Yarrowia lipolytica: one gene and its partners. The protein of the gene in region 1 interacts with the protein of each later gene in a pairwise test. Links are inferred from orthologs where the notes say so. Each region holds a gene or a part of one and is shown in the gene's direction. Other genes may lie near its edges.

Region 1 (5,396 bases):
GGCGAGAGGAAAACTCAGACACGTACGAGGGCCTTCTAGAGGACACGGCCGAGAGCCCTCCGCTTCTGAGCGATGGTGGCAGGGCCTCCTCGAACTGTTTGTCGTCCATGGCTACCGCAGAGTCGTCTTCCATGGTGCGGTGTAGTGGTGGTGTAGTGAGTAGAGTCAGTCTTGGTTGGTGGGAGGTTTAGAGTGGTGTATGAGTCAGCAACGAGGTGGTTGAGTGATGCAGGCGAGGTGGAGCTGAAATCTATCTCGGGCTGCTTCTCTTGTCTGCTTCTTTCTAGCTGTCTGGCTGTCTGTTTGAATGAGGATTCCTGACACTCCGTGTCAGTGGGATGTAGACTCTAAGTTTTGACACTTTTTTGAGATGTGGTCCAATGTCCAAATTAGCTTGCGTGACTGAGTTTGGAGTGGGGCGAGGCAAGAGTGTCTGGGAGTAGGGTCGATAGAGGGTGTCAAGCGGGTGTGTGAGCAGCACCCCTGGGACCTAAAAAAGAGCACTCCAAAGGGTTACAGATGCGGCGTGGAGCGTCACGGTCGCCCGACAGCATCGCACGTATTTATCTGCTTGGACCCGCACGCTAACATTAGTGCAGGCGTGAGACCAGGCGGCTTGTCTAGCCCGAGGTGGCAATTGCAGCCTTGTACGTACGAATCTCTCTTCCCCTTCACTGCTTCTCAACCCTGCACCACCCCACAGGTCTGCACCACCCACTTGCCCTTCTTCCACCACTTGCTCCTTAGTTTGATTCAAGTATACACATTCAGTACAGTATCGTACATGGACACTGGCCATTCCAAAAAACAAAAAAAAAAGCTGCTCCCAAGCCTCAACCACACCCAATCCACCACCGTCAGAAACATAGACCAGGCCAAAGAGGGGTGTTGATAATAGTGGCCAAAGTTTGGTCTGGGAGGCGGCGGGCTAGGTGAGGGGTACCGTGAGTACGAGTGTACTGAACGAGAGATACAAGTCGTACAATACGGGCCTCCTTGCAAGTACATACCTTGGGGTTGATTTGGAAGGCGGAAATTGTCTTGCCTTGTGGATTTGCTCGTGGTTGTGATTGCTCCGCCCGATTCGGAATCCGCACAATTGCTACTGTACAGTATGTACCAGTACCAGGTACCAGTACCAGTACCAGTACATAAGTACCAGTATAAGTGCAAGTAATGGTCGCTTCTATGTTCTGTTGTTCAATCATGGTAATAAATAACTATATACACGGATATGCTCTGGCTCACCTTGACTGTACGAGTACTGCAAATAAATGACAAGGCTGGAGCTTCACCCGCCAACCCTAAGTTGCTTCCAAGATGAGAGACTCTTTAGAGTTGTGTGGGGTAGTCAGGTGCGCAAGGTGGGTGAGTGGGTGGGTAAACAGTCCAACAATGGGACAGTAGACATGGACGCATGGGAACCCAGCATCAACCCCCACTGCTCGTAGACTAGAAGGCGGACACGTCACGTGACCGGCAGCGCACCGCCGGCGGCAGCGAGTCGAGACGTGTCGCCTTGGAGCCGTATTCCTCGTGATCGCCGCAGTCTGTACTTGTCGATTCGTCTCCACTGCCGTGCAAGTCCACCCGCTTGTCTTCTCTCAGCTGCAACCATCGAACTAGAGAAACCCAGCCGATCAGAGCTATACTAACGGCCAGCATGGCCCACATACCCAGACGGAACTCGGGCGCGGTGTCGGCTCCATAGAAAACCACCATCCACCACGCGTTGGTGGCGTTGGAGATCATGTTCATAGAGGCGAGCACCACCGATCTCTCTTCCTTGTCGTTGGCTGTCACCACGTTGGCCCAGGCGAAAAACGCTGCCTGTACCATGTAGACACATCCACACAGATAGTAGCCTGCAAAGACGGTCGGGGTACGGTTCACCAGCACCAGAACCGTGCTAACGATCCCCACTAGGCCGGCAGCTACCCCCACGTGCCAGTGTTTGCCTGTTTGATCCACGTACGAGGCAGCCACTACAGTAGCCACCACTCCGACTCCAGAAACGCCCATCGGGTACCTGTTACTCTCAATAACACTCCACCCGGAAGCCTTGAGATACTGTCCAAACAGGTTGTTGGCTGGAGGAGACTCCACCTCGCCCGCAATGCCCCATAGCAGCCCAAACATGTAAAAGTGCCATCGTCCAAGCACCCGTTTGACAACTGTCCAGTCTAGTTTTGTGTCTGGGCGTGGCGGGAGTCGCATGACAGACATCTGGCGCTCCTTCTCGTCGAAATAAAAGGCCTGTGTCGTCGCTGGTGTATCTGGAAAGAAAATAAAGCCATAGAGAGCCACGGGAAACGTGATGATGGCGTCGATAATGAACAGCCATCTCCAGCCGGCTAGTCCTCCTTTCCCACTGAGTCCTTTGAACACTGCACTTTGCAGAAAACCAGAGAAGAGTGTGCCAATGAGCCCTGATGATGTGAAGATGGCGGTTCGCTTCGCCAACTCCTTACCACTGTACCACGATCCCAGGATGAAATGGGTGCCCACAAACGTAGACGCTTCAAAAAAGCCCTGGAAGAAACGAATGGCATAGATCTGCTTGTATGTGGTCACAGCATAGGTGCCCAGAGTCAATAGGCCCCAGGCCATGGTGCAGAAGGGAAAGTAGTACCGGGGCTTGAACACCTGAAGAGCCAGGTTGTTGGGGATCATACCCACCGTGTATCCCACAGTGAAGAGCGTGTTGGCGATGTTGAGCTCTCGGCCGTACATTTGGAGATCCTCTCGCATGCCCGAAACAAAGGCATTGGACAAATTGGCTCGATCCAGATAGTTGGTAAAGTACATGAGACAGCAGAAGGAGAGCACAAACCAGTCAATCTTGCGCAACAGGTGCTCCTCCTCGGCCGTGCTCTTGTACTCTCCCCAGATAAACACTCTGATTTTTCTCAGCCAGTTCATGGGCCGTGATTGAGTGTGTCGAATGTCTTTGGGGTTCGAAATTGGCGGGTTTTTTTCGTGAATAATGCGGTTCTTCCCGTCCCTGTGGCTGGTCCTGTCTGTCGTCCCATGCTCGTCAGAAAAACCCTTCAGAGGTGAGCTTAGCGGAGGTTTATTTGCTTATTAAGCATGGCTGTAGATGGATGCAACGGTGAGTAACCAAGGTCCTCTCTATGTCCTACAATAGATTTCCAATGATCGGGCCTCCTTTTTTCGTCGATTTCAGCTGCAAATATTATTCTTCATCTCATTTCCTTTTATACACCGGTTTGCTCAAATCTAGTTGCCCCTTTCGGAACCCCTAGCCCTGAAGTCGCGGCTTTCACAATCATAGTTTGTGCAATCCACGAAATCCATCACACAACTACACACAAACATCAAAAGTGAGTATGGTGGCAAAGATGAAGTAACAGAGGCGCTGACAAGGTGCAGGAGAAATGAGTACAAGCGGGCGTACGTGTGTTTATATACACTGAGCTTGTATGCTCCACTTTGAGTGCTTCAGCCTTGCAGCCACGCTCAAGTTGCACTTGCACAACACGAGACGGTGAACGTGACGTACCGAACGTGACACAAACCAGAGAGAAACGCACCTCTGTCCACTCGTAAACTAACGCAGCAGATGTCTGAGGAAACACAGCCCAAGGTAGACAGCTCCGAGCACGTCAACATCAAGGTCACCGACTCGTCGTCGGAGATTTTCTTCAAGATCAAGAAGTCCACACAGCTCAAGAAACTGATCGACGCCTTCTGCCAGCGACAGGGCAAGCAGAAGTCTTCCCTGCGTTTCCTCTACGACGGCCAGCGAGTCACCGACACTGACACCCCCGAGACTCTGCAGATTGAGGACGGCGACACCATCGAGGCTCACCAGGAGCAGCTTGGTGGCTGCTAAGCGGGATATTAACTGGTAGATTGTTAGTAAAGTGTATGATAGCTGTTTAATATTGAGCGCGTAGAAATTGTCGCAATATATCTCGTTCCATCTCCAAAATCTGCTTTACGTAATCAGATTACTAGTACATAATTGCTGTATTAAAGAGACGCGTACATACGAATACAGGACTCGTATGTAAACTTGAACTCAACACCATGATGAAAACGTGGGCATTGAGGGCTAGAGCTGTTCGAGCCACATGGAGTGGCCTGTCGAGGACGTTCGGCACTTCAGCACCATGTGATGAGGCGCTCAAAATCGCATATTTTGGAAGTGACAAATTCAGCATCAAATCATTACAGGCGGTTCTCCAACTACAAAAGGAGGACCCTAGTGCCATTGAGAGCGTCACAGTCGTTACGAAACCGCCCAAACGAGCTGGACGAGGTCTCAAGGAGCTCAAAGATGTGCCTATTACCGACTTCGCGGTAGAGAACGGCCTTACGGTGCTTCGGGCAGACAACAAGACGGAGATCAATGCTCTGCCCAATGACTTCAGTCTCGTAGTTGCTGTCAGCTATGGAGGTTTGATTCCCCAACAGTTTCTGGCAAACACAAAGTACGGCGGTCTCAATGTCCATCCTTCCTTTCTACCCCAATACCATGGACCTGCTCCTATTCACCATGCTCTGTTAAATGGAGACAAGACGACCGGAGTGACAGTCCAGACACTGCATCCGACAAAATTCGACCGAGGACGAGTCGTGGCTATTTCAGAGAAAGTCCCCATCACTCGAGATAGCACCTTTGAGTCTCTGCGAGATACCCTGGCAGACACCGGAGCGGAACTGCTTTATTCAACAATCAAAGATCGAAACTTCACAGACTCGAGCTATGAGGTCAAATCAGGCTGTCCAGACGTCTATGCTGGACACGTAACGTCAAAAATGCGTGCCATTGATTGGTCTGTGGATACAGCCGACAAGTTGGAGCGGTATTGCAACACGCTGGGGTCGTTGTACACTCATAAGTTATTTGAGGAGCGCAAACAAGTCAAGGCAGAGTTTCAGGAGAAGCTGCTGAGAGTTCTACTAAGTGAGTTGAAGAAGGTGGATGGCATTGAAGCCTTTGGGGCCCCTGGAACACATAAACTTGTCGATCGAACGGTGCTCATCAATACTGTAGATGGAGTCGTGTCTTGTCCCACTTTACAGGTGGAGTTCCAGGCGGTGGAGGATGCTGACAAGTTTGAAAAAAGATGTGTTGGTTCGAAGAAGAAGAGAGCCAAGAGTGAGGAATTTCAAAATGGAGAGTGAATCGCCAACTAGCACGAGACATTGTATATAGTATTAAAAATAAAATAAAAAAATAACGACCTGTTGGAACTATATTCATATGTTAACTCAGTTGCGCCCACTTACTGTACATTCCAGCTACACTACAAGTTCATATAACATAATTAACACAATATTCATAACAAAATCCTTCCCACACACTCCTCTCTCCTCCCTGTTACTCCCTCTCTCTCTCCTCCTAAACCAACAGCGTCTGATGCTTG
Region 2 (5,997 bases), on another chromosome or scaffold:
AAGAGGCGAAGATCCAGTCCTTCATACAGCCAAGACTCTTTCGTCTTTCCACCTCTTATCTACCACTTTTAACACCGGTTCACCGCTCTTATCATACACGCACACGTGACGCATCCACCTTGCATATCACTTAACTCAGTTGCCGCTAGTAACCTCAACTACCCATTCTACAGCACACCCCAAAGGAAACGACAACCGATGGACTGGCAACCGGGCTATCCTTCCGAGCCCTTTGGGGCGTACATGGAGCCTCTGGACCCCCCCTACCAGGTGCCCGTCATCCCACAGGACATTTTCGATGACTTGGGCGATCTGGATACCACCTCTTCTCACGACACGGAGATGGATCTGGACATGGACATGGGGCCTCCCAGCCACTACATGCGCGATGTTGCGATCCGAGAGAGTGCTGCAGCCGAGGGCGTGGACGAGGACCGGCCAGACTGCTTCTTCAAGTTTCTGGAAGAGGAGTTTCGTCAGGGTACTCTCTCCTCAGAGCTGTACCAGAGATCAGTATACAAAACGGTGGAGTTTCCGGACACTGTTACCCCAGACGTCTTGTGTGAGCATCCGATTCTCGACAAACAGGGACTCGAGTGGGGTACGCTGTTTGAGTCGTCCCGAAGAGGCTCCTTTCTCATCCCCGACGGAGTATGTGAAAGCGTGGCAACCCACAAGGCTCTGGTGCGCAAACTCAGATACCAGCGCTACGCGGCTTACCGTCCGCCACCTAGCGCATCTCCAACGATTCAAGGCTTCGAGCACTCACTCATGGCGTTCCAGCGGTGCTTCACTAACCCCAAACCCCATCTTTTCCATTTCCAGCTGAGAAACCTGATGTATCCCGTTTCAGCCACGCAGGTTTTCTACAATGCCAATCATATGGATGACTTCCAGGTGGATATGCTCAATCCAGAAACGGGCGAACAGACGGTCGCAATATCACCTGAAATGTGTGACCCATCTCTCCAGCAATTGAGAGTGTCCGCCTTAGCAGCTAACAGGAACGTGGTTATGCTGGGAAGCACAAAGGGCGTGTTTGTGGTGAAACCGTTGGCTGAAACGTCGTCGTCAGAAAAGAAATCGTTTCTCTCTTCGGGCATGATATCGTCTGGTAACGAACTACAGGTCAACTACATCTCCTTGTTGTCCTCTTCAGCCCTGATATCAGGCAACGACAACGTTCTTCGGACTCTGGACCTGAACACTCTTAAGGCAAAAGACTCCATTACACTCAACTATGCTGCTAATGCTACGGCCTTTCTCCCAGGCTCGGAAAATGTCTGCGTCATGGCTTGTGACTCGCAGGAGTCGCACGTCTACGACTCGCGATCGGGTAAACTGCAAATGTCATTGCAGGGTCACACGGACTTCGGATTTGCATGTGCCTGGTCTCCCGATGGCAAAACAGTGGCTACAGGCAACCAGGACGGAACTTGCCGTCTGTACGACATCCGAGGAGCGTCCAACCAATGCATCGGCGCCGTTTCGGGAAAGTTGCAGGCAGCTATTCGGTCCGTGGATTTTGATGCTTCCGGAAGATATCTTGCTATTGCCGAGCCGGTCGATTACGTGACTGTTATCGATACGTGGTCGGAATGTACGTCCAGACAGACGATCGAGTTCTTTGGAGGCACCGCCGGCGTCAGATTCACTCAGTCGTGTTCGCTGGGCGAGTACCAGCAGTTGACAATTGGTGTTGCTGATGAGACTGTTGGAGGAGTCATTCAGTACATGCGACCCAGTCAGTTACAGGGTGAGGATTTTGGATTTATCTAGACGATGACGAGAGACAGGGGCCGAAAAGAGTGACGAATAAGAAATGTCGTCGACTATGACGACGACGAAGATGATGTGTACGATAGGATGATGTCTGAAGGAGACCCGTATATATGTTATTTATTGAGTATAATACTAATTGAAGGGGTGGATTACGAGTGAGTCACTGATGGGGATACGAAGGCGTTACAGCGCGACTAAAAATTGATGAATTTGAGCTGTGTTCATCAGTGTCTTCGCAGTTGCTCACGGTTCACATGCTCGCACGCAACAAATCATTGAGGACCTCAACGGGAAATATTGGTGGATAGAGAGTATTAAACGGGAAGCTGGCAAGGCTCAGCTTCGATTAGCCATACTGCACAAATAGTACATACCTCACTTACGTAACCTCTAAACGTCCATTTTTAACTTCTCCAACTTGCAGTTTTTCTTTATATTATTTTGAACTAAGGAAAGACAGCGCTTTTTTTTCATTCTAGATGAGGGTGAGATTATTTTTTTCCTAATTTTTTTTTTAATTCTAATGATTCATTTTTCATGATTCATTTTATTCTAGGGAAAATGCCCCACGGAAATAAGGTTTAATTTAAGCTTGTTTGGGAGTTTGGCCGAGTGGTCTAAGGCGCTAGCTTCAGGTTCTAGTGTCGAAAGAGGCGTGAGTTCGAACCTCCCAGCTCTCTTTTTTTTGCCTAACGGAGTGGTGCCGGGAGTGTAACTTGATGTAACTTGATTTTTCGCCACATACACAGATTAATTGGTTCTCTGATTTTGAGTCTTCAGCCCGTTATTTTGCCACTTTACCCACTTTCTTATTTTACTTGTGGTATGCACACCTCTACGTCATATGCAGCCCCAAACTCTGGATCATAGCTCTCACCATCGGACCCTTCTTTTTGATAACACACATCATGTTTGGAGGAACTGCACAATGGGGCGCCACGCCTTTCCGAAACCGAACCCAGAAGTTTCAGGACTACTACCGATGTTACCCCATCGCCATGATGCCCGGTAAGGACCGAGAGTCTGCCAACTACGGTGGCAAGATCTTTTTGCCTCCCTCGGCACTTTCCAAGCTCAGTATGCTGCACATTTCGTACCCGATGTTGTTCCAGCTCAAAAGCGAGGAGAACGACAATGTGACGTACGGTGGCGTTTTGGAGTTCATTGCCGAGGAGGGCCGCGTCTACTTGCCCCAATGGATCATTGAGACTCTGGATGTGGGTCCTGGATCTCTGCTGGAAATTTCGTCTTGTGATTTGCCACTGGGTAAGTTTGTCAAGTTTGAACCCCAGAGCGTTGATTTTCTGGACATTTCCGACCCCCGAGCAGTGCTGGAGAGATCATTCCAGAACTTCTCGACCCTCACAGTCGGAGACGTGTTCAAGTTCAGCTACAACGACAAGACATATGGAATGAAGGTGCTGGAGGTCAAGCCCGACCTGGAGGACAAGCACTCGGTGTGCTGTGTGGAGACGGACATTGAGGTTGACTTTGCGCCTCCGGTGGGCTACGTGGATCCCTCCACCCAGAGTGACTCCAATTACGGAAGAGCCATCAAGACACCTGGTACCAGTGGATCTTCTACTCCTGCACCAATGGCAGCCGCGGGAACCATGGCCCAGTCTATTGGTTATTCGAAGCTCGCCCAACAGACCATTAAGTCTGCTTCTAAAAACACCTTTTCCGGTGGCGGCCAGAAGCTGTCTGGAAAAGCCGTCAAGCCTGAAGAAGAGGCCTCCCTCGACGAGCACTTCAAGGAGCTCGTGGGTCTGGGATCAACAGACACAGACGCGAACCCCCAGCCTTTACGTCTCCCTTTTGGGCAGCTATTCTTTGGTTTCCCCCTAGTGCCTGTCAAGCCTTCTGAAGACGAAGAGACACAGACCGAGGAGCAGCAGCAACAGCCCCACTTTTCGGGCACAGGCCAGAGTCTGCGAGAAAGTCGAAAACGCAAGGAGCGCAACTCGTCGGCTGGAGCTGCGGGAGGAACCCCCAAGAAGCCCACCAGTCCCGAAATGGTGGTCATTGATTAACCATGGCCAAGACGGCTGTGGATTAGAGGCAGACTTATATATCTGTATTTATATGTGTTGGGCAACCAACCCAAGTTATTATATTGAATGAGTAAAATAGGAGAAGTAAATGGTAATACTCATACTTGTACATGTAGATTGTAAATAATATATACTTGATTTAAAAAATGTAAATATATAAACTACGAAACTGAAACGCCTTGAAGGCTGAGTGTATCGTACATACGTAATACTGTACAATAAATACGATGTACTGGGGGTACTACAGTAAGTATGCGTATGTATCGCTTCAAATTGTGGACGAGAAGCACTACAGTAGATTTTTTTCACTATCATCTTGTCACTTGGGTCATCTTCGTGGGCTTGCTCTCCACAACCCAGGCATGCTACTTGTACAATGGCATCTACATGCTCATATAGTCAAAACAAATAAATAATTATGCTAATGCTTCTTGTTAATCTTGCGTCCCATTCGCCGTCTCAATGTCAAGTACTTACTCTCGGGCTCCGGACTGTCATTGACAGCTCCAACCACAGACCGAATAGACTGCCGTCGTGTAAGAGGAGGCATGGAGGCATTACTGGAGGTCTTGCGAGCAACCGGCTGCGATAAGTGCGACTTGTTTGACTTTTGAGACTGTCTAGAAGTCGTTCGGTCAACTGCAGGCATGCCTGGAACCATGTTGTACTGGTGCTCGCCTCCTCCATAGATCTGTCCATTGTGTTCCACGACAGAAAAGACCCGCTTTCGAAGGCCTCTTGGGATATGATCTCGATCCAGAATGTCTGGAGTATGATCAGCTGCCGTTCGTAGCTCATGGGGTGTCTCGTCAGGTTCTTCATCGTCGTTGTCAGCCTTGAGAGGATCGTGGGGAGCCAGAACCTCGTCGTAAGCACGAGCTGCCGAAGCAGCCCATTCAGCGTAAATGGGACGCGAAAGAAAGCCGTACTTGAATTTGTTGACACCCACAAGCAGCGCTGTGAGATCAGCCAACTCTTCCACGTACTCAATGACCTCCTCCACGGCCGAAGAAGTCGCACTCCACGACATGAACTTTTGCTGCAACACGACGGCTCGATGTTGGAGGTAGTCGTGTGGCTGCTGCTGCTGCTGCTGCTGTGTTCGGGCTCGAGGCACAATCTCAATCTCCTGAGACGAGTCATCCGAGTCTGAAGTGTCATCAGAACTGTGGTGCAGAGCATGGGGTGTGTCTGTATCATTGACCACCAAATCAGGAACACAAGCCTTCTCTCGAGTGGTGTCTCCTTCCGAACATCGTCTAGGAGACCCAGTATGAACATTGGGAAGACTGGCTCGAGAAGATAACTCAGGGTGCGAAGGATTGCCTAGAGGAGTGGCCAAGGGGGTTTCTCGAGGGGTTTCTCGGGGGGTCTCTCGAGGTGTGTCACGAGGTGTACCTACCGCTGGAGTTCCAATATTGGGAACGCTATGATGATGCTTGTTCTGGCTCAGTCGTGTGATCATGACCTCTCGAACTCGGTTCACAAACCGTCGATGCGCCAAACGAGCACTGGGCATATACTGAGGCAGGGGTGTCTTATTCAGAAGAGCTGCTTCAACTGCACGTAGAGTCGTGGTGATTGCAGCGGCAGTCTGACGTCGGTAGGCCAGAACCTCAGGTCCATACTCGTCCAGAACCACAGATCCATACTGTTGACGTAAGAAGACAATGTTCTCCAGTCGGTCGATAATCTGTCGAGTCACGAAAATGATCTCGCCAAATATCTTGGAAATCTCCTCAAAAGAGCCCTTAAGACGAGGCTCCTGTTTGGTGAAAGTTCTGAAGGTCGCTGCAGCTGTAAGTGAACCTCTGGCGACCTTAGCGCACTTTTTGAACTCCTTCTGAGCAGTGGCAGGGTCGTCAAAGCCGTAAGCAATGATTCTCTCCATTCGAGAACACTCTCTGATCGCCTGGACGGTCACCACCACGAGCTCTTCTCGCGCCTTAACTGGGAATAAGAATAATTGTCCTAATAGAGCCGCTCCTCCTCCGATCATCATAGCCAGAGTTCGTTTGGCAAAGTTGGTGACAATTCCACCTGTAGTCGTAGGGTATAGAGTGGCCAGAAGGACCACATTAGCAGACACAACCGTAATCATGCCTCCCTTGAAGTATTTGGTGGCCAACATGAACCATAGGGCAGGGATAAAGATGACAGC
Region 3 (6,362 bases), on another chromosome or scaffold:
ATGCTACACTACATTTAAGACACAGCTGCTTTTGCACTGGCAGACAACGTCTCTGCCCCAGCTGGCGAACACAAAAAGCCGCCTCACTCATCGGGCTGTCTTAGAGACCCAGATCACCTCTCCAAAAATTCACTTTGCAATTGAAATGAAGTGGTCTCCTCCAGGAAATCCACCCCCCACCCACCCTGTTTGCACCGAGCTACTGACTCGCAGAGTTAGACTCAGTGCTCATGCTCAGCTCATCTGGCGTGCCTCCTGGCGAACCCCATTCAGCAAGACATATACCGGTTTGGGACTTGTAGGGAACTACGCTATCAAAGTTCCACCGTCTTCTATTGGCTTCTATGAGGGGAGCGTGCAGTGGCGCCGGCGGGGAAAAAAACGGTGAGAATTTTTCACTCAACAGAAGACGAAGAGCCTACAGCAACCTGAACCGCGGGAAACCAGTTTGGCAATGGATGCCATCACTCTCTGGTTCTCGTAATAATAGTGCATCTCGCCTGCATTGACGATGACCCCCCAAACACTCTCGGGAAGAGAAAAAGGAGGGACCCCAAGTGATAGTCGCCATGTCAAACAAAAAGCCCAAACGTAATGTTTAGTATAATTACGCAAATATGGGCGGGTTTTTCACAGGAGCAATTGAAAGACTTTTAATCGAAGTATGGCTTCCAAACAGGGCCCATTGTATTTAAAACCGCCGGTCGACAATGCTACACCGCCACCGAAAATGGCGTGATTGCTGGCAAAAAAACATAACATCATCACAAACATGTGTCAATATTTTCCGTATTCATAACGCTCCGCTCTTGGCCCGCCGGTAGTGCGTCGTTGTGTGGGCCTTGTGTGGCTTCGTACTCCAACAGCAACCAACGCGTTTCAAAGTTCAAGGTGCTGATTCGCGGCCAATGACAAAAAAAAGGGACTACTTCCCAAACAAGCAGTGACCTTCATCAGAGCTGCACTATACCCGTGTCGATCACCGCAACCCTACTGCGTGGTGTAAAGCAAAAGCACATGGTGAGGGGAGGGAGGCTCAGACGCGTATCGCTGTCCCAAAGGGGAAATCATATTGTCCAATGTCGACGCACATAGACGGTTTGGCGTTTCCCACCTCACGGCTGTGTCTTTCGGCTAACAACGCCGTGTCTTCTATTTTTAGGTCTCCTACAAGTACAGTAGCTACGATACTGTACGCTATCATGCCGTAGCATCTCCACTCAGCGTAGCACAATGAATGTTGCTGCGATTAGATTTTATTATACCCTGTTTTTTTTTTAGCGAGGGTGAAAAAATTATTCACATGGTCGCATGCAGGTGTGACCTGTCGGACAACGAATGAAATTCTTTTTTTTATTTTTTTTATATATTTTGCAGACGCACGTCGAAAATACGTGACTCAAGGGATCGAATCACAGGGGCTCGATCGAAGAAATGCGATCGAAGGAGTGCTGTCTCGTTGTTGCGCCAAGAGTCCACCAAAGTGAGATAAGCGACAAGCTCTTTTGGCTTTTTTTTAGCCGTGCCATGCTCAACAGAAGGGGCTATCAGTGACTACTACTGTACATACAGGTGGTTGAGTCTGGTAGTTAGTCTACTGTCTACTGTACTACTTGTACTACAGTAGTAGCATGCTAAGACCAGGGTACAGGAGCCATATTGGTCTTCTGGATCGAGGTGTTCGTTCTGGTGCTTCGAAGTGGTCTTAGCTTGGTGGTGACTCTGCGCTGCAGAAGTCCGTCAAGTAAAAGCCAAGTATCGTGTGTGTACTTACACAGGTAGTAGATATGGGACCTAAGTCAACCAACCAACCAAGTAATAATCCACAATTTACTTGACCAATTACTTGACTCAGAGTGGCGACTTAGAGTTCGACTAAAAAAAATACATGATGTCTACAAAACCATTTTCTGTGCAAGTTTTGGGAGTAAAGACATTATTAACGTTGATAATCGACCTCCAAATATCTATATTTTTTTCTTCCCTTCCCACAAAACCCATCCCATCCTTGTCTTATCTGCATTACATAATACACCCGCTAAACACAACATCACGCATCCGTCCCAAGCTTGATTTCTTATGTCTACAACATCTCTGCTTCGAAAACTGCAGAAAGAATACCCGCTGGCGTCTCGAGAAGTGCTACTGGATATTCTCGTGTCTTGTAATGGAGATGTCGATTCTGCGAAAGAGCTTTTGGGACAGTCACAGACACCTACCAAAGATACCACAAGTACTCGTCCTATAGATAGTCCCAAAAGACAGGCTTCCATAGCCATTTTTGGTGTCAAAAAGAGGAAGAAAGAAAGTGAAGCGAATACAACTTGTTCATCGTCTCCAAACACCCTGAAACCCCTCACATTATATACCCCTGAAGATATCGAGGCTGCCTTACCGTGCAGTTTGATCTACAATGTGTTGGAAAAGGCAGAAGCTGAAAATCTACTAGACCAGCTTATGGAGGATCACAATAGCTGGAAAGAAAAAACCAAGTTCTACCTATTTGACAAACTGTGTGAAACCCCCCACAAGTCTGCCTTTTACACTAAAGACATGTCCGTGTACTCGCAACACACTTATCGATACAATGGAAAGCCTGTCGACACTTCCAGAAAGTACAGCAAGGCCATGGAGGCGTGTTCAGATCGAATTCAGGAGCTAGTACGCAGTACAAACAAGGAAGGGACCGCAGAGTGGCTTAGTGACGCGTGTATTGCCAACTATTATGCTGACGAGTCTCAATCTGTGGGGTTTCATAGTGATCAATTGACGTATATAGGGCCGCGTCCTGTCATTGCCGCGTTAACTCTGGGATCCGAGCGCATCTTCAGACTAAAAGGGGCTTGTCCGGATGGGGATAGACGGACCTACAACATTCTGTTACCGCATAATTCTCTCATGATCATGCATGCCGGGTGCCAGGAGGCCTACAAACATAGTATCATTCCCGTTCAAGCCAAACAGATTGGATTACATGAGAGGGCAGGCAAGGTGCGTTTCTCTCTCACGTTTCGACACTACAAGAAGGAGTTTACGCCCAACAAGATTCCACAATGCAAGTGCGGAGAGCCGATGATTCTGAAGCCGGTGTTCAAGAAAGCTGCTGGACAGAAAAGCGGGTACTTTTGGACCTGTGGCCAGACATACCAGGGCAAGGGATGTGGAGATTTTGTGTGGTATGACAAACCCATTAGGTGATAGTTATCAGGATTGGTGTTGCGTGTACAACAGGTGTAAGCGGATGAATGGATAGTGTATTCGTCTTCAGCAGTACCAGAAAGTGTAGGCGAGCCGTAATGATATTAACATGATCACGAACTGTACAGACTACAAGTACAAACATACAGTTCATGGTGGTGAAGACGGTCTGTACCGAGGGTGAAGATGCTGTACTTGACTGAACAGCAGGCAGAGAAGGTAGTAAAGCAAAGTTGATACAAAATGACTTGTAAGGCGCTACGACAGGGAAACAGCAATATGTTCAAACTGGACAAGAAATTCATTAGCTGCTATATCAGTAGGTGTTTCTTGGGCACAGGTTTTACAGGTTTAGCATTGGGCGATTGGCGAGAAGCAATAGGTTCTTTGCAGCTGCGTATAATGTCATAGGTCCAATGCGGTTTCTGTAAAATCCGATGCGTTCTCGTCCAATACCCTTGTGCCATGCACTCCGAGAGTCCTAGAGTCTGAAAATTAGAACTTCTTAGGGGGCACTTCATTCTTCTTGGGGAAGAAGAATGTCGCTCCATAAAGACCAGCGTTAGAAACTGCCAGGCACGACAGCAGCAAAGGCCAGGGCTTTCGGAACACAGTGACACTTCGAGTCCCGTTGGCCAACAGGTACAGCATGGACCAGGCCGAAGTGAATCCTGCTCCGTTGGTGATGTCGTCCAGCATCATGTATCCCCCGGCAGCAAAGACCAGTCCGAAACCTGCGCACGACAGTTTGGTGGGCTTGACTGTGTTCTTTGCGTAAGGGAGGGTAGCCAGCACTGGGTTAGCATGATGGCATCCAATTGGGGTTTGGGTGGTTCAATTGTTTGGTTTTTTTTTTTTTTTGGTACTCACATAGACCGGACATAATCCAGGCGGGGTAGGGCGTACGAGCCAGCTCCTGGACGGGGTTAGTATCTTCTTTGGCGACTGGAGGAGCAGACATGGCGTGGTGGGATGGTGTAGCAATACAAAGTTGGGTGCAGATGGGTGCATATCACCATTGTTGGGGAGATTTGTGGGGAGACCATATGTAGTATTTGTGGTAGTGGCTGGTGTGTGAACTTCGGTAAACAGGGAACTAGTCGGTTTATTATCTGATTAAAAACACCTGCGTATCTATATCTCTCTTCCAGCCTCCAATAATCACTTGTGCTCCCCCTCCAACAAGGTTCGCTTAGCTCATCTGCAGGCATCTCGTTTTCCCCCACCATGGACAACGACAGAGTCAAGCGACGGAAGGTGGAGAGTGAGAGCGACAATGGCCGGACACAACTAACAGCCATCACGGCGCTTCCCGACGAGGAAAACACTGGATCTGTGCACCTCAAAGACCTCATTGGATCACCCCATCTCGAGGCCATGTGGCAATTCAACTTCATGATTGATCTGGCATTTGTACTCGATAATATTCACAAGAATGCCATGTCAAACATCAAGTGTCGGTTTGTGATGGGCGACTTTAGTGGCGAGAAGATCGCAGCCTTCAGAGCACAGGCCAAGAGTCTCCCGATAGCCGACAACATTGAAGTAGGAAGAGCCAAGCTGTCGAATCTGTTTGCAACCCATCACACAAAAATGATGGTGCTGTTTTTTAAAGAGGACAAGGGAGAACGATCGGCCCAGGTTGTCATCCATACCGCCAATATGATTCATCATGACTGGGATAACATGACTCAGGGAGTGTGGAAGAGCCAGAAAGTGAAGGAGAAGAGAAAGACGAATACGGAGGGCTCCACAAGCACGTTTGAGACTGATCTCGTTGCATACCTGTCTGAATACCAACTAGATACCACTTCCAAGTTGATTAAGTTTCTGCAACGGTTTGATTGGAGCTCCGAAACAGCTCGAGTGGTGGGATCTGTTCCTGGAACTCATAAGGACAAGAAGTGGGGACTCACACGGGTTGCAGACTTGCTGGACGAGCACAAGGAGGATCACAAGAGTGACTATGAGGGCTCAGAAAGTGACACGATTGTTCTACAGAGTTCTTCTATTGGTTCTCTTGGAGTCACAGACAAGTGGATCACTCCTCAATTGGTAGGAGCTTTGGATGGAAGATCACCAAGAGACCGAGATGGACATGGACTACCAGCTTCTCAAATTGTGTGGCCTACGGTTGAGAATGTACGTCGGTCGTTTGATGGATACGATCTGGGTATGTCTATTCATTTCAAGAACGAATCCGACACCCATAGGAAACAGTATGCGTATATGAAGGAGCGGATGAACGTGTGGAAGGCCGACAACAAGCACAGAACCCGAGCCATGCCTCACATCAAGACGTATACGCGTTTCACACGAGCTGGCAAGCTTCGATGGGTGCTTTTGACCTCGGCTAATATCTCCAAGTACGCCTGGGGGTCAGTTTCTGCAGCTAAAGAGTCCAAGTTTAGCATTCCGTCGTGGGAGCTGGGAGTTTTGCTGTTCCCCCAGGCGGTTGGGAAGGCTGTTTTCGATCTCAAAGACTCAGTTATTCCTTACGACTGGCCCTTGACCAATTACAGTGCCAAAGACGAGCCGTGGACCAAGAATGCCGATCATCTGGAGAAGGACACCAATGGGTTTCCGTGGGTAGTCACTTTGGATGGGAAGAAGAAGCTGATGAGGAGTCATGAAGCATTGTAGAAGATACAGGAGGCCGTTGACCTGATGCCATAAAGCACTCACTAGAGTAGGAGATTGGAGGGCTATTCGAATGAGAGCAATCCAGCTGGAGTCGGGCTCGACACCCATTTCAAGAGTGTATGTGCTGCTATTGACAGTCGCTTACAGTAACTCTTCAAGGAGTCAACCATGTCCGAGTACAATAGACCTGGTTGGTTGATGGACGAACATCGACAGATGGTAATAACAGAAGTGTCCACGCATTGAATCCATAAACGACAGTAGATGGATAGACAATAGACATCCAATATACTAGTCGTTACCATCCAATCTTAGCAACAGAGCATCTGGACATACATCACTATCGTACGATCTTTGTTGACCATTCGCTCTATAGAAGAGAAACCACCTTGAGCTTTGTTCTGGACACTACCTGTTGGTACCTGTAAACGTTTGCATAGTCTCTAGTGTGGGTTACTCCTCGACACTGTTTGATACCTCCTTCAACTATCCATGACCTACTTAGACCGACATCACCATCC

Evidence for each region.
Region 2: the proteins of YALI1_F10115g (region 1) and YALI1_E31075g interact in binary tests that used the Saccharomyces cerevisiae proteins (3 or more experiments, as listed by UniProt). The link is inferred for Yarrowia lipolytica from reciprocal best matches to the Saccharomyces cerevisiae genes SMT3 and UFD1.
Region 3: the proteins of YALI1_F10115g (region 1) and YALI1_D09790g interact in a two-hybrid assay, tested with the Saccharomyces cerevisiae proteins (2 studies listed by BioGRID). The link is inferred for Yarrowia lipolytica from reciprocal best matches to the Saccharomyces cerevisiae genes SMT3 and TDP1.

Annotation. Positions count from the first base shown.
Region 1 is NC_090775.1:1,009,752-1,015,147, reverse strand, and holds YALI1_F10115g (uncharacterized protein), read left to right. Parts: upstream 1-3,583; coding exon 3,584-3,856; downstream 3,857-5,396. Other genes in the region: YALI1_F10150g (uncharacterized protein), read right to left, coding at 1-133; YALI1_F10122g (uncharacterized protein), read right to left, coding at 1,453-2,922; YALI1_F10110g (uncharacterized protein), read left to right, coding at 4,054-5,154; YALI1_F09996g (uncharacterized protein), read right to left, coding at 5,372-5,396. UniProt on the Saccharomyces cerevisiae protein: Not known; suppressor of MIF2 mutations.
Region 2 is NC_090774.1:3,104,873-3,110,869, forward strand, and holds YALI1_E31075g (uncharacterized protein), read left to right. Parts: upstream 1-2,690; coding exon 2,691-3,815; downstream 3,816-5,997. Other genes in the region: YALI1_E31050g (uncharacterized protein), read left to right, coding at 199-1,779; YALI1_E31131g (uncharacterized protein), read right to left, coding at 4,258-5,997. UniProt on the Saccharomyces cerevisiae protein: Functions at a post-ubiquitation step in the ubiquitin fusion degradation (UFD) pathway. Has a role in the endoplasmic reticulum-associated degradation (ERAD) pathway.
Region 3 is NC_090773.1:974,604-980,965, forward strand, and holds YALI1_D09790g (uncharacterized protein), read left to right. Parts: upstream 1-4,425; coding exon 4,426-5,841; downstream 5,842-6,362. Other genes in the region: YALI1_D09766g (uncharacterized protein), read left to right, coding at 2,080-3,198; YALI1_D09785g (uncharacterized protein), read right to left, coding at 3,694-3,992, 4,069-4,159. UniProt on the Saccharomyces cerevisiae protein: DNA repair enzyme that can remove a variety of covalent adducts from DNA through hydrolysis of a 3'-phosphodiester bond, giving rise to DNA with a free 3' phosphate.